Linked DNA regions of Caenorhabditis elegans. The protein of the gene in region 1 interacts with the protein of each later gene in a biochemical or structural test. Each region holds a gene or a part of one and is shown on either strand. Other genes may lie near its edges. The genes, in order: asp-13 and ced-3.

Region 1 (5,955 bases):
CAAAAAACCCGTGTCCCGTTTGTCCCGTTTTCCCGTTTTTTGAGTGTTTTTACGGGAACGGGACGTCCCGTTGTCCCGTTTTTAAAATTATCACGGGAACGGGACGTCCCGCTGTCCCGTTTTTGTAATTTTTACGGGACATTGACACCCTTGAGTAGGATCAAATGAAAATTATTAGGCTGAACATTTTGAAGACGTTCTCAATTGAACCAATTGACAGAAATGCTCAAGAATCAAAAGAATATACCTTTTAAAAAAATCGGTAAATGGTCTAGTTGTTATTAATTTTATCAGATTTTTACTGTTACTTACTCACATATTTCCAAAAGTAAGGAACCTAATTTAACTAGAACTTCAGGTGGGACGGATACGGGCGCTGTCCAATCAGGGGCTCCAGTCTTTGCTCTTCTTGATTGCCGATTGGCCGATCGATTGCGAAAAAATGAAATCTAACTAGCAGCGGAATGCAAACTATCCAGTGCTTTTTTATGGTGTCAACAAAAATTTTACTGTATGATTTCACAAAGATTTGAAAGCTGGATGCTCCATAAATTTTTGCATGCCACTTTGACACCATTTAGTCATTTTTGTGCATACCTTGAAGGCTTAGCTTATTATGAGTGAACAAGCATCTTAACTATACAGGGCTACTTTCATCAAAACGTCAAATTACTCTTACGACCTTGTCATGAATTTCAGAATTCTGAAATTAATCAAAAGCCGCCGCTGTATTACGCAATTCCAAACTGTTTTCCCAGCCTTCAGAAGTATACCGTCCTGAAGTATACCCAGATCCATAAATTTTTGCATGTCACCTTGTCTTCTTTTCCCAAAAACTTAGCGGGTCGGGGGGTTAGCCACCTTCTTCACACAGGGCAACATTGTCTTTGTCTCCGAGTTGTGTACGTCCCGCGTCCTCTCGTTTTTCGCTCATTCGATTTATTGGGTAAAAGTGCGCGAAAACAGAGAGGAAATGGAGAAGGACCGAGTAGAACAAGTTGGGACAATACGGGGGAGCGACACGCGACGAAACGGTGACATTAGTGATAGATGAGTCTAGATTTGGGAATAGTGTGAGTGATGAAGAGACACAGATATATTTTATGAGAGGGAAAGTGAGGTCGAAGGTTCAAGTTTCCATGGTGCATTTGAGCATAATGGGAAAATGAGGAGAGCGGCAAGAAGTTGTGATACCCTGAAATATTGGTCATGGAGGATTAAAGGGGAGATAAGTATTGAAAAAAAACATATGGAACACTATATGTGTTCAGAAATTTTAATTTGAAAAAAACTAAATTTTAAACTAAATTTAAACTCGAACAGTTTGAGTCAACATATAGTGAATGACAAAAAAACCATTTGGAAGTGGAAAAATATTCAAGTTCAAAAAACGGAAAAGTGCATAACTTTTTTATGGGAATTTTACCTACAAGACAAAAAATCTAATTTTTCAGAATTTGGAAAACTTAAAAAACATAACCGTTATTTTTCTATCCCTACTTTAGTAGTTTAGTGTACTTCTAGGTATCTACTGATGTTCAAAAAATTATTGTAATAGTTAAAGATCTCCATTATGCAAATCACAGCTCATAGTGAAGTATAAAAAGTCATTTAATTACAGTATTCCCATTCATTGGTTAATCAATTCACTTGCTGTCAATGGGAAAACAATTTCAAAAGGTTATCACCGTTTGAATATCGAAACGATCATATTCTTTCTACACTTGTGTGACAATAAATCGTGTCAACCAGACAATGTGGAGCATTTGAGGTTGAAGTTTTGATAGGCTCGTATAAAGCTAGGGAACCTTTTCAGATATTTGTAGTTATAATATCGTTAAAGGGAATGTGCGTGGTGTTTGTAAAATCGTAATAATCACATAAATACAATCAACTCAAAATGATGAAACCAGCAAAAATAGAAACAAGAAAATGCGATTCAAGTGAATAGGGCAACATTCCTCTTCATCTCATTCTTCAACTAAATTTAATTTGGCTTCCAGTTTTTTCTCTATTCTTTTCCGTCTTCTTTCGTTCCTTTTCCAATTGCACTTTTTGTACCATAGGGACCCTCCGTCTTCGTTTTTTTCTGCAAACAAAAGCGCCACCCTAACTATCATTCCGCTTTACAAAGGAAATGAGAAGAACGAACTGGGAGAGCCCAGGGTGGCCTTCTTCTTCGTTTGGTTTTTTAAGAGTCTCGGGTCCCGAGGGTCCATTCAAAATTGAGAACATGCTGTTTTGTAGAAAACGAAAGGCGACATTCCGCAAGATTTGGGTGGTCTCCGACGAGAGACGTTTAGCCCGATTGCCTGATTTATGACCATGTGCACTTTTACAGACTTGTTTAGTGTCAATATGAAAAACGAATGTGCAAAACTGGTTGATGAAAGGCAAGCGTGAACTAGTACGTGTGAATCTGACATCTAAAGTTGAATTATAAAAAACTCGTAGGGAAAATACGGTAATCCATTTATCAGACTCAATTCAAATAAATATTCTGAAACACAGTATCAGAGTTCATAATCTGATGTTGCAATGTTATCAGTGAATTCAATTAGTTAGAATGTTTCGCCGATAACCCTATTTAGTTTTCTTTCCCATTTCAGCGGAGAATAATTATTTTTTCATTCAGTGTTTCAATTTATTTTTATTTTTCAGAAAATGGGTATTATTTCCATTATTTTCCTTCTTATTGGGTCTTCGACGGCTGCAGTCCTCGAACATCAATTAATATGGAAAGAATCTAGAATGATTGAAATGATCAGAAATGGAGAATATCCTGCCTATTTGGAGTACCGCGACCGTATGGTTGCTAGTAGATCATCTAACCTGGCTACTGTGGTTCAAAGCACAACAGATTATGTGTACTATGAGTACATGGGAAATATTACTGTTGGAACTCCTGATCAAAACTTTATTGTTGTATTAGATACCGGATCAGCCAATCTCTTAATTCCAGGAACTAATTGCACGTTAGTATTCCTGTTTTGAAATTGAATAACGTTTGTGATCACAATTTTTCGAAAGTTTTTTACAGAACGTACTGTGAGAAAAAGAGATTATTTAATGAAAAAGCTTCATCCACATATATTGCAACCAACCGCCCATGGCAGATCAAATATGCTAGCGGTGATGCCTACGGGACATTGGGAATTGACACTGTTAAGGTTATTTGATGGAAATTCTGAAATTTTACATATTTAAATGCATAAATAAATTGTAAAAAAGTATTAACAAAAATTTAATTAGGAGTAAATTCGTGTCTGGTACTGTGAATAACTTTTCTTGGAGTCATCTAGGATAAAATGGAATTTTCAGATCGGTGGATCAGGAGAAGCACAACTCGCTATTCCAAGATCATACCTTGGTGTTGCAGACACTGTCGGATCAGATTTCAAATGGGTTCGTTTTTTTCAAGTTCCTTCACTTTCACTATTTTGCATTTGCAGAGCCCAAAAGAGGGAATCTTTGGTCTTGCATTTACTGCATTAGCTGTTGACAACATTACCCCTCCAATCATCAACGCTATCAATCAAGGACTACTTGATCAGCCACTTTTCACTACATGGTTTGGTCAGAGAGGTGCTCCTGGAACTTCTGCAAGTGGTGCATTCACTTATGGAGGATTGGATAAAAACCATTGTGGGCCAGTTATTGGATATGCGGAACTAACTAATGCTAGACATTTTCAGTTCCAGGTATTTCTGGAGAGTTTTGATTTTTGTATTTTTTCTGAATTTCTAGGCAACCGGATTTTCTCTTGGCTCATATGTATCCACAACCACATATGAGGTAATCACCGATACCGCTACTTCATTTCTATGTGGACCTCAAGCTGCAATTGACAACTTGGCTAAAGCTGCAGGAGCTACTGTAAGCATGTACTTTCTGTGATTGCGTTAAAAATTACAAATTGTTTCAGTGGGACCCAACAAATCAAGTATTTAACATTCCTTGTGATGCCGACGCGGGGCCAATTAAGATGAAAATTGGCCAATTCAACTATGTTATTCGAGCAAATAACTACATTTTGAAGATTGATGTAAGTTTTGCTACATATCAAAAATTATGTGAATAATTTACAGACAAACTCCTGCCTTTTCGCTGCAATTCCACAAAACTATGCTGGTTTCGGACCTTCATGGATTCTCGGTGGACCATTCATGAGACAATATTGTAATGTACATGATATCGGACAGAAACGTGTTGGATTCTGTTTATCTCTTGCATAGACTCTTTCATAAATACATACATTCATATTCTCGTATTCTGATGTTTCTTTTGTTTTTGTGGTTCCTTGTCCTGTGATTTCTGCTATTTTCGTATTTTGTGGAAAATGAAAAGATGATGGACCATCGAAATGAGAGGAGGAAACGTAGTTTGTACACATGAATAAGTCACTTGACGCGTATCCATGGAGGTCTTTGTCTATAACGTTTTCCTTTAAATTTGGAGCGTCTCAAGTTCTTGGCTCATTCTGATTTTTTGACTCATTCACTTCCTCGAAATGCCTTCTAATTTTTACTTTTTCTTTTTCGCATTCCTAATTTTTCTTATAACTCCAACATACCCGCTCCAATGCCATCAATGCGGAGGTCAGGAAAACATGTCTAAGCTAACAAAGAAAATGTTCACTGAACTGAATATCAGCCCTGATAAGTACTACGGAGATTGTAAAGCAACGTCCGGTGCCGATGTTTGTACCAATGGAACATTTTGTATCAAAAGAGCAAGTATGATTGTTGTTTTTTTTTACGAATCACTGGTACCATTCTCTTTTTAGAAATCCACAGAGTTGGCTTCAATAGTATCAATTTCAAATGGACTTCATACACAAAGGTATCTAATTTTTTTATAAACTTGTAAAAGTATGCAACTGATCCTAACTTTCAGGGATGCGCTAGCGTTCGCGAAGACAACAATCAGACTCCATCAAACGGATGTTTTGACTTGAACCAAAAGGTCAAGAAAACTGGATATACTACTGTAAGTTGCGCTATTTTTACAGCACAGTTTTCAAACTTTATGTTTGTAGGAGCGCCTCGATTGCTATTGTGACAAAGACTTCTGCAACTCCTCGACGGCCGTTTCAATGACTTTCACCACAGTATTTGTGTTCTTCTGGTTCTACAAATCAATTTGAGAATGATGTTAGAAATATTTCTTGTTGAAAAATATTGGGAATTAGTAATTTATGTAGCTTGAGAATAATTGCTTGGGTTTCTGCTTTTCACTATAAATTCAAAATTTGAGATCAATGAATCTTTCATAGTTTTATAATAATTCCCAGATCATTATTTTCGTCTTCATCCTCTTCTTCAAAATCTTCACAACATTCCGATATTCTTGGAAGACTAATCGCGGAAGGACGTTGTAGGGGTTTTTCAAAGTCAATAGCGAGTTGAATCTAAACAAAATAAAAATTAATTAACTATTGAGCCTTTTTATATTCACCACATTGTCCAAATGGCTATCCGAAAGTTGGCTCGAGCTTCTGTACCAGTAATCTTCATCATCTAAACTTTCAATATCCAGAAATTTCAAATTTGCAGCTGAGCTTCTTCGTGATCTAGATATTTCAGCTTCTTGTACAGCTTCTTCGATATTTCTTTCCTTTCTCTGAAATGAAATTTGTAATTGGAAGAATTTTCTAGAATTCTACCTTTTCCGACATTTTCTTCTCAAAAAGATATTGCCTTCGCTTACTTGATACAGCGATCCACGAGATTTTCGTGAAGTATAGAATTAGCTCAGTTAAAGAAACAACTGACATTCCAAACCACAAACCGTTCAAACCAAATATTTTATCTAAAATTCAGAAATTGTTTCATTAGTAATCAAAAAACTCACTGAAAGTATTCAAAATAGTTGTTGCTTTAACTTGAGAGTATGAAGTGTAGAACAATTCCATAAAATGAATATTTATTATTGCTATATTTTGTCTGAAAGTAA
Region 2 (10,183 bases), on another chromosome or scaffold:
TAGGAAGTTCAAAAAATTTGCCTTATTTCAGAGAAAATGACACGTCGAAGGAGAAGGATTTTTTTACTCTAATTATTTTTCTTACTTGTTGAAAAGAAATAAATAAATTTAATTTGTACCACGCGTGACCTTTTTAATTCAAATTCCGACAAAAAAAACCCACATGGGCCAAGGATGGTCAGTCTTAACTTTAGTGTTGATTGTGAGATTCGAAATTGCTCGTGACAAGATGAGACTTCTTCTTCTTCTTCTCCTTGCAACGATTTCAATGTCTGCCGCTGTAAATGAGGTAAGCTTTTAATTTCTAGACGTCTCTTTCTATATATATTTTGTTTTCAGTTTGAACTAACACTCAAACAACAGAGCACTTTATGACGGCACACTTCACAACTTGCTAAACTTTTTGTTCGTGGACACTGCAACGTACGCAGGCGTCGGTGAAAAACTTGAGTCAGCTTATCTCGAAATCGTTTGTTGATAAATAGTCAGGATTTTGTTTCAGATTCAATTTTGGAAAGTGCCGTGAGAACCGTGCGAAGAAGCTCATCTCGGGACATGGATATTTCATCGCTGAACATGGAAAAGGAGTGTGGGAGAACTTGTACTATCTTCCACGTAGCAACGGCGAGTATCTGTTCCTTCCACGTGCTTAGATGTGTGGGATTGATGGACGCGATATTTGATTTTTTGAAATTATTAAGTTCTGTTCTACAGAATTTTCAATAAAAAGTTTTCTTTGGCTCTTGCGTTACTTATGTTACTAATTAGTGTTATTTATATTATCAACAAGAATTAAAATTAAAATTTTAAGAAACATTGAAGCTTTGCATTAAAAATTTAAAACGTTTATTTTAATTCAATTTTTAAAATTTGGCTCACTGCGATTCTGCGTGAAATGTGATGTTTCTACAGTAACCCGTACAACCAAGGCATCGAACTTCACGACATTTACGAATTCAAATTTGAATTGCAAACTTTTTAATTTTATCGATTTTCTTTCTTTTTGAGCTTTATCAATAGCTCTAAGCGATTATTCAACAGAATTTCACTTTTTTACGCCTAAATGATTGAAAATTTGATAAAATATCAATAATTTACGGTTATCCTCTTCGTAATCTTCGCTTTCTTCCCAGAGTAGTGAAAATATCGACTTTTTGATAGAAACTGGATTTTTTAACTTCCCTGTTCGAAAAACTATTTTTCCTTAAATGAGATCTGAAATAAGGTGATAAATTAATAAATTAAGTGTATTTCTGAGGAAATTTGACTGTTTTAGCACAATTAATCTTGTTTCAGAAAAAAAGTCCAGTTTTCTAGATTTTTCCGTCTTATTGTCGAATTAATATCCCTATTATCACTTTTTCATGCTCATCCTCGAGCGGCAGCGTCTCAAAGAATTGTGAGAGCAAACGCGCTCCATTGACCTCCACACTCAGCCGCCAAAAACAAACGTTCGAACATTCGTGTGTTGTGCCTCCTTTTCCGTTATCTTGCAGTCATCTTTTGTCGTTTTTTTCTTTGTTCTTTTTGTTGAACGTGTTGCTAAGCAATTATTACATCAATTGAAGAAAAGGCTCGCCGATTTATTGTTGCCAGAAAGATTCTGAGATTCTCGAAGTCGATTTTATAATATTTAACCTTGGTTTTTGCATTGTTTCGTTTAAAAAAACCACTGTTTATGTGAAAAACGATTAGTTTACTAATAAAACTACTTTTAAACCTTTACCTTTACCTCACCGCTCCGTGTTCATGGCTCATAGATTTTCGATACTCAAATCCAAAAATAAATTTACGAGGGCAATTAATGTGAAACAAAAACAATCCTAAGATTTCCACATGTTTGACCTCTCCGGCACCTTCTTCCTTAGCCCCACCACTCCATCACCTCTTTGGCGGTGTTCTTCGAAACCCACTTAGGAAAGCAGTGTGTATCTCATTTGGTATGCTCTTTTCGATTTTATAGCTCTTTGTCGCAATTTCAATGCTTTAAACAATCCAAATCGCATTATATTTGTGCATGGAGGCAAATGACGGGGTTGGAATCTTAGATGAGATCAGGAGCTTTCAGGGTAAACGCCCGGTTCATTTTGTACCACATTTCATCATTTTCCTGTCGTCCTTGGTATCCTCAACTTGTCCCGGTTTTGTTTTCGGTACACTCTTCCGTGATGCCACCTGCTCCGTCTCAATTATCGTTTAGAAATGTGAACTGTCCAGATGGGTGACTCATATTGCTGCTGCTACAATCCACTTTCTTTTCTCATCGGCATGCTTACGAGCCCATCATAAACTTTTTTTTCCGCGAAATTTGCAATAAACCGGCCAAAAACTTTCTCCAAATTGTTACGCAATATATACAATCCATAAGAATATCTTCTCAATGTTTATGATTTCTTCGCAGCACTTTCTCTTCGTGTGCTAACATCTTATTTTTATAATATTTCCGCTAAAATTCCGATTTTTGAGTATTAATTTATCGTAAAATTATCATAATAGCACCGAAAACTACAAAAAATGGTAAAGTCTTTTAAATCGGCTCGACATTATCGTATTAAGGAATCACAAAATTCTGAGAATGCGTACTGCGCAACATATTTGACGCGCAAAATATCTCGTAGCGAAAACTACAGTAATTCTTTAAATGACTACTGTAGCGCTTGTGTCGATTTACGGGCTCAATTTTTGAAAATAATTTTTTTTTTCGAATTTTGACAACCCGTAAATCGTCACAAGCGCTACGGTAGTCATTTAAAGGATTACTGTAGTTCTAGCTACGAGATATTTTGCGCGCCAAATATGATGCGTAATACGCATTCTCTGAATTTTGTGTTTCCGTAATAATTTCACAAGATTTTGGCATTCCTCTTTAAAGGCGCACGGATTTATTCCAATGGGTCTCGGCACGCAAAAAGTTTGATAGACTTTTAAATTCTCCTTGCATTTTTAATTCAATTACTAAAATTTTCGTGAATTTTTCTGTTAAAATTTTTAAAATCAGTTTTCTAATATTTTCCAGGCTGACAAACAGAAACAAAAACACAACAAACATTTTAAAAATCAGTTTTCAAATTAAAAATAACGATTTCTCATTGAAAATTGTGTTTTATGTTTGCGAAAATAAAAGAGAACTGATTCAAAACAATTTTAACAAAAAAAAACCCCAAAATTCGCCAGAAATCAAGATAAAAAATTCAAGAGGGTCAAAATTTTCCGATTTTACTGACTTTCACCTTTTTTTTCGTAGTTCAGTGCAGTTGTTGGAGTTTTTGACGAAAACTAGGAAAAAAATCGATAAAAATTACTCAAATCGAGCTGAATTTTGAGGACAATGTTTAAAAAAAAACACTATTTTTCCAATAATTTCACTCATTTTCAGACTAAATCGAAAATCAAATCGTACTCTGACTACGGGTCAGTAGAGAGGTCAACCATCAGCCGAAGATGATGCGTCAAGATAGAAGGAGCTTGCTAGAGAGGAACATTATGATGTTCTCTAGTCATCTAAAAGTCGATGAAATTCTCGAAGTTCTCATCGCAAAACAAGTGTTGAATAGTGATAATGGAGATATGATTAATGTGAGTTTTTAATCGAATAATAATTTTAAAAAAAAATTGATAATATAAAGAATATTTTTGCAGTCATGTGGAACGGTTCGCGAGAAGAGACGGGAGATCGTGAAAGCAGTGCAACGACGGGGAGATGTGGCGTTCGACGCGTTTTATGATGCTCTTCGCTCTACGGGACACGAAGGACTTGCTGAAGTTCTTGAACCTCTCGCCAGATCGTAGGTTTTTAAAGTTCGGCGCAAAAGCAAGGGTCTCACGGAAAAAGAGGCGGATCGTAATTTTGCAACCCACCGGCACGGTTTTTTCCTCCGAAAATCGGAAATTATGCACTTTCCCAAATATTTGAAGTGAAATATATTTTATTTACTGAAAGCTCGAGTGATTATTTATTTTTTAACACTAATTTTCGTGGCGCAAAAGGCCATTTTGTAGATTTGCCGAAAATACTTGTCACACACACACACACACATCTCCTTCAAATATCCCTTTTTTCCAGTGTTGACTCGAATGCTGTCGAATTCGAGTGTCCAATGTCACCGGCAAGCCATCGTCGGAGCCGCGCATTGAGCCCCGCCGGCTACACTTCACCGACCCGAGTTCACCGTGACAGCGTCTCTTCAGTGTCATCATTCACTTCTTATCAGGATATCTACTCAAGAGCAAGATCTCGTTCTCGATCGCGTGCACTTCATTCATCGGATCGACACAATTATTCATCTCCTCCAGTCAACGCATTTCCCAGCCAACCTTGTATGTTGATGCGAACACTAAATTCTGAGAATGCGCATTACTCAACATATTTGACGCGCAAAATATCTCGTAGCGAAAAATACAGTAACCCTTTAAATGACTATTGTAGTGTCGATTTACGGGCTCGATTTTCGAAACGAATATATGCTCGAATTGTGACAACGAATTTTAATTTGTCATTTTTGTGTTTTCTTTTGATATTTTTGATCAATTAATAAATTATTTCCGTAAACAGACACCAGCGCTACAGTACTCTTTTAAAGAGTTACAGTAGTTTTCGCTTCAAGATATTTTGAAAAGAATTTTAAACATTTTGAAAAAAAATCATCTAACATGTGCCAAAACGCTTTTTTCAAGTTTCGCAGATTTTTTGATTTTTTTCATTCAAGATATGCTTATTAACACATATAATTATCATTAATGTGAATATCTTGTAGAAATTTTGGTTTTCGTTCTAGTATGCTCTACTTTTGAAATTGCTCAACGAAAAAATCATGTGGTTGTTCATATGATGACGAAAAATGCATTTTTTATATATTTTCCCCTATTCATGTGTGCAGAAAAATGTAAAAAAGCGCATGCATTTTTCGACATTTTTTACATCGAACGACAGCTCACTTCACATGCTGAAGACGAGAGACGCGGAGAAATACCACACATCTTTCTGCGTCTCTCGTCTTCAGCATGTGAAATGGGATGTCGGTCGATGTAAAAAAATGTCGAATAATGTAAAAAATGCATGCGTTTTTTTACACTTTTCTGCACAAATGAATAGGGGGAAAATGTATTAAAATACATTTTTTGTATTTTTCAACATCACATGATTAACCCCATTATTTTTTCGTTGAGCAACTTAAAAAGTAGAGAATATTAGAGCGAAAACCAAAATTTCTTCAAGATATTACCTTTATTGATAATTATAGATGTTAATAAGCATATCTTGAATGAAAGTCAGCAAAAATATGTGCGAAACACCTGAAAAAAATCAAAAATTCTGCGAAAATTGAAAAAATGCATTAAAATACATTTTTGCATTTTTCTACATCACATGAATGTAGAAAATTAAAAGGGAAATCAAAATTTCTAGAGGATATAATTGAATGAAACATTGCGAAATTAAAATGTGCGAAACGTCAAAAAAGAGGAAATTTGGGTATCAAAATCGATCCTAAAACCAACACATTTCAGCATCCGCCAACTCTTCATTCACCGGATGCTCTTCTCTCGGATACAGTTCAAGTCGTAATCGCTCATTCAGCAAAGCTTCTGGACCAACTCAATACATATTCCATGAAGAGGATATGAACTTTGTCGATGCACCAACCATAAGCCGTGTTTTCGACGAGAAAACCATGTACAGAAACTTCTCGAGTCCTCGTGGAATGTGCCTCATCATAAATAATGAACACTTTGAGCAGATGCCAACACGGAATGGTACCAAGGCCGACAAGGACAATCTTACCAATTTGTTCAGATGCATGGGCTATACGGTTATTTGCAAGGACAATCTGACGGGAAGGGTACGGCGAAATTATATTACCCAAACGCGAAATTTTTGCCATTTTTGCGCCGAAAATGTGGCGCCCGGTCTCGACACGACAATTTGTGTTAAATGCAAAAATGTATAATTTTGCAAAAAACAAAATTTTGAACTTCCGCGAAAATGATTTACCTAGTTTCGAAATTTTCGTTTTTTCCGGCTACATTATGTGTTTTTTCTTAGTTTTTCTATAATATTTGATGTAAAAAACCGTTTGTAAATTTTCAGACAATTTTCCGCATACAAAACTTGATAGCACGAAATCAATTTTCTGAATTTTCAAAATTATCCAAAAATGCACAATTTAAAATTTGTGAAAATTGGCAAACGGTGTTTCAATATGAAATGTATTTTTAAAAACTTTAAAAACCACTCCGGAAAAGCAATAAAAATCAAAACAACGTCACAATTCAAATTCAAAAGTTATTCATCCGATTTGTTTATTTTTGCAAAATTTGAAAAAATCATGAAGGATTTAGAAAAGTTTTATAACATTTTTTCTAGATTTTTCAAAATTTTTTTTAACAAATCGAGAAAAAGAGAATGAAAAATCGATTTTAAAAATATCCACAGCAACGAGAGTTTGAAATTACAGTACTCCTTAAAGGCGCACACCCCATTTGCATTGACCAAAAATTTGTCGTGTCGAGACCAGGTACCGTAGTTTTTGTCGCAAAAATTGCACCATTGGACAATAAACCTTCCTAATCACCAAAAAGTAAAATTGAAATCTTCGAAAAGCCAAAAAATTCAAAAAAAAAGTCGAATTTCGATTTTTTTTTTGGTTTTTTGGTCCCAAAAACCAAAAAATCAATTTTTCGTCAAAATACCAAAAGAAACCCAAAAAATTTCCCAGCCTTGTTCCTAATGTAAACTGATATTTAATTTCCAGGGAATGCTCCTGACAATTCGAGACTTTGCCAAACACGAATCACACGGAGATTCTGCGATACTCGTGATTCTATCACACGGAGAAGAGAATGTGATTATTGGAGTTGATGATATACCGATTAGTACACACGAGATATATGATCTTCTCAACGCGGCAAATGCTCCCCGTCTGGCGAATAAGCCGAAAATCGTTTTTGTGCAGGCTTGTCGAGGCGGTTCGTTTTTTATTTTAATTTTAATATAAATATTTTAAATAAATTCATTTTCAGAACGTCGTGACAATGGATTCCCAGTCTTGGATTCTGTCGACGGAGTTCCTGCATTTCTTCGTCGTGGATGGGACAATCGAGACGGGCCATTGTTCAATTTTCTTGGATGTGTGCGGCCGCAAGTTCAGGTTGCAATTTAATTTCTTGAATGAGAATATTCCTTCAAAAAATCTAAAATAGATTTTTATTCCAGAAAGTCCGACGAAAAAATTGCGATATAATTACGAAATTTGTGATAAAATGACAAACCAATCAGCATCGTCGATCTCCGCCCACTTCATCGGATTGGTTTGAAAGTGGGCGGAGTGAATTGCTGATTGGTCGCAGTTTTCAGTTTAGAGGGAATTTAAAAATCGCCTTTTCGAAAATTAAAAATTGATTTTTTCAATTTTTTCGAAAAATATTCCGATTATTTTATATTCTTTGGAGCGAAAGCCCCGTCCTGTAAACATTTTTAAATGATAATTAATAAATTTTTGCAGCAAGTGTGGAGAAAGAAGCCGAGCCAAGCTGACATTCTGATTGCATACGCAACGACAGCTCAATATGTTTCGTGGAGAAACAGTGCTCGTGGATCATGGTTCATTCAAGCCGTCTGTGAAGTGTTCTCGACACACGCAAAGGATATGGATGTTGTTGAGCTGCTGACTGAAGTCAATAAGAAGGTCGCTTGTGGATTTCAGACATCACAGGGATCGAATATTTTGAAACAGATGCCAGAGGTACTTGAACAACAATCGATCTGCTAACTTTTTAAGGCACAGAAAAATAGGCAGAGCGTCCTTTTGCAAGCCTGCCGCGCGTCAACCTAGAATTTTAGTTTTTAGCTAAAATGATTGATTTTGAATATTTTATGCTAATTTTTTTGCGTTAAATTTTGAAATAGTCACTATTTATCGGGTTTCCAGTAAAAAATGTTTATTAGCCATTGGATTTTACTGAAAACGAAAATTTGTAGTTTTTCAACGAAATTTATCGATTTTTAAATGTAAAAAAAAATAGCGAAAATACATCAACATCAAGCATTTAAGCCAAAAATTGTTAACTCATTTAAAAAATTAATTCAAAGTTGTCCACGAGTATTACACGGTTGGCGCGCGGCAAGTTTGCAAAACGACGCTCCGCCTCTTTTTCTGTGCGGCTTGAAAACAAGGGTATCGGTTTTAGATTTTTCCCCAAAATTTAAATTAAATTTCAGATGACATCCCGCCTGCTCAAAAAGTTCTACTTTTGGCCGGAAGCACGAAACTCTGCCGTCTAAAATTCACTCGTGATTCATTGCCCAATTGATAATTGTCTGTATCTTCTCCCCCAGTTCTCTTTCGCCCAATTAGTTTAAAACCATGTGTATATTGTTATCCTATACTCATTTCACTTTATCATTCTATCATTTCTCTTCCCATTTTCACACATTTCCATTTCTCTACGATAATCTAAAATTATGACGTTTGTGTCTCGAACGCATAATAATTTTAATAACTCGTTTTGAATTTGATTAGTTGTTGTGCCCAGTATATATGTATGTACTATGCTTCTATCAACAAAATAGTTTCATAGATCATCACCCCAACCCCACCAACCTACCGTACCATATTCATTTTTGCCGGGAATCAATTTCGATTAATTTTAACCTATTTTTTCGCCACAAAAAATCTAATATTTGAATTAACGAATAGCATTCCCATCTCTCCCCGTGCCGGAATGCCTCCCGGCCTTTTAAAGTTCGGAACATTTGGCCAATTATGTATAAAATTTTGTAGGTCCCCCCCATCATTTCCCGCCCATCATCTCAAATTGCATTCTTTTTTCGCCGTGATATCCCGATTCTGGTCAGCAAAGATCTTTCTCATAGCCCATTCCATTCGAGCTTTCTAATAGGAATTTGAAAATTTTCGAAATTCCAGTAAATAATATTGGAAAATGGATTTTTCGAGTTTTCAGCAACACAAATTTACTTGAAACCCCATTTTCCAAAATTTCAATTTTTTCAAATTTCCCGCTATCTTCCAAAATACTCTTGTACGTTTATTATATTTCCCTCGTTTTTCTTCGATTCCTCCTCTCCGCGCACCCAATAAGTTTTATATATGTTGAGATTTATATAGCTTGTTATTATAATTATATATTTATAGATTATTATAGTTGCTTTTCTCGCCGTATGTTTGTGTGTGTGTGATTGGTATACATAGATAAAAGAAAACAAGGTGTTAACAAAACAAAGGTGAAAAATAATCAACAATTAAAGAAGGAAACAAGCTAATATAAAATTTCGCACATATATGATATGCAAGCTTCTGACAATTCCCTAGTGAGTACTACAGATTAAGAATATGTGCACAAAAATTAAAGGCTGAATTTAAGCTTCTCAAACCTCCCAGATTACAAATATTACGGGAACATATAATTCTGAGCATGCGTACTGTGCAACATACTTGACGCGCAAAATATCTCGTAGCGAAAACTACAGTAATTCTATAAATGACTACAGTAGCTCTTGTATCGATTTACGGGCTCGAATTTCAAAATGAATTAAAATAATTTATTTGTCGATGGAATATTAAAATTAAGCAAAACATGAGAAAATAATACGAAATAACCAAGGGAAAAATGAGAAGTTGCTGTCACTATTCAAAAAGTCCCTCATTTCGAAAATGGGGACCGTAAATCGACACAAGCGGTACAGTAGTCACTTAAAATAATTACTGTAGTTTTCGCTACGAGATAGCTTGCGCGTCAAAAATGTTGCCGAGTACGCATTCTCAGAATTGTTTGTTCCCGTAATATAATTTTCTAAATGTACGTCCTTATATTATATTCTCAAAGTGCAAGAAGTCATTAGAAGTTATAATATATGAAATTTTTATCAGATTTCATATTTCAGTTTTTGAAACAATATTATGTAAACTCAAAATTTATCTGACCTCAAACATTCATGACTGTTCCCACTTTCTCATTCCCACGAGGTGCAATGATAGAGCTACATTAGAGACAGGTGTTCATAGGACCATACTATTTGCTCGCAATCCTCGATTGTTCACCCTTTCTTGTTTTTTCATTCTCTTTCGTTCTGTAAGATAGCACTTCTCTATTTTCTGGTTATTCCAAACAATGACCAAGCCTCTTCATGACATTGCCTGCCAAAAAATTGCCGAATTCGTTCAAAATG

What was found.
Region 2: of the proteins of asp-13 (region 1) and ced-3, one has a biochemical effect on the other in vitro, tested with the Caenorhabditis elegans proteins (one study listed by BioGRID).

The regions. Positions count from the first base shown.
Region 1 is NC_003283.11:8,639,900-8,645,854, reverse strand, and holds asp-13 (Peptidase A1 domain-containing protein), read left to right. Parts: upstream 1-2,661; 5' UTR 2,662-2,664; coding exon 2,665-2,975; intron 2,976-3,040; coding exon 3,041-3,170; intron 3,171-3,321; coding exon 3,322-3,405; intron 3,406-3,452; coding exon 3,453-3,701; intron 3,702-3,747; coding exon 3,748-3,876; intron 3,877-3,925; coding exon 3,926-4,045; intron 4,046-4,088; coding exon 4,089-4,235; 3' UTR 4,236-4,253; downstream 4,254-5,955. Other genes in the region: nssp-59 (Protein quiver), read left to right, coding at 4,511-4,736, 4,787-4,842, 4,897-4,989, 5,039-5,146; acd-4 (DEgenerin Like), read right to left, coding at 5,270-5,410, 5,458-5,622, 5,666-5,811, 5,854-5,945.
Region 2 is NC_003282.8:13,197,325-13,207,507, reverse strand, and holds ced-3 (Cell death protein 3 subunit p17), read left to right. Parts: upstream 1-3,370; 5' UTR 3,371-3,441; coding exon 3,442-3,576; intron 3,577-3,639; coding exon 3,640-3,785; intron 3,786-4,063; coding exon 4,064-4,317; intron 4,318-5,505; coding exon 5,506-5,837; intron 5,838-6,749; coding exon 6,750-6,963; intron 6,964-7,017; coding exon 7,018-7,145; intron 7,146-7,218; exon of another isoform or gene 7,219-7,368; intron 7,369-7,499; coding exon 7,500-7,739; intron 7,740-8,215; coding exon 8,216-8,278; 3' UTR 8,279-9,247; downstream 9,248-10,183. Other genes in the region: C48D1.9 (VHS domain-containing protein), read left to right, coding at 32-40; C48D1.1 (Zer-1-like leucine-rich repeats region domain-containing protein), read left to right, coding at 10,126-10,183.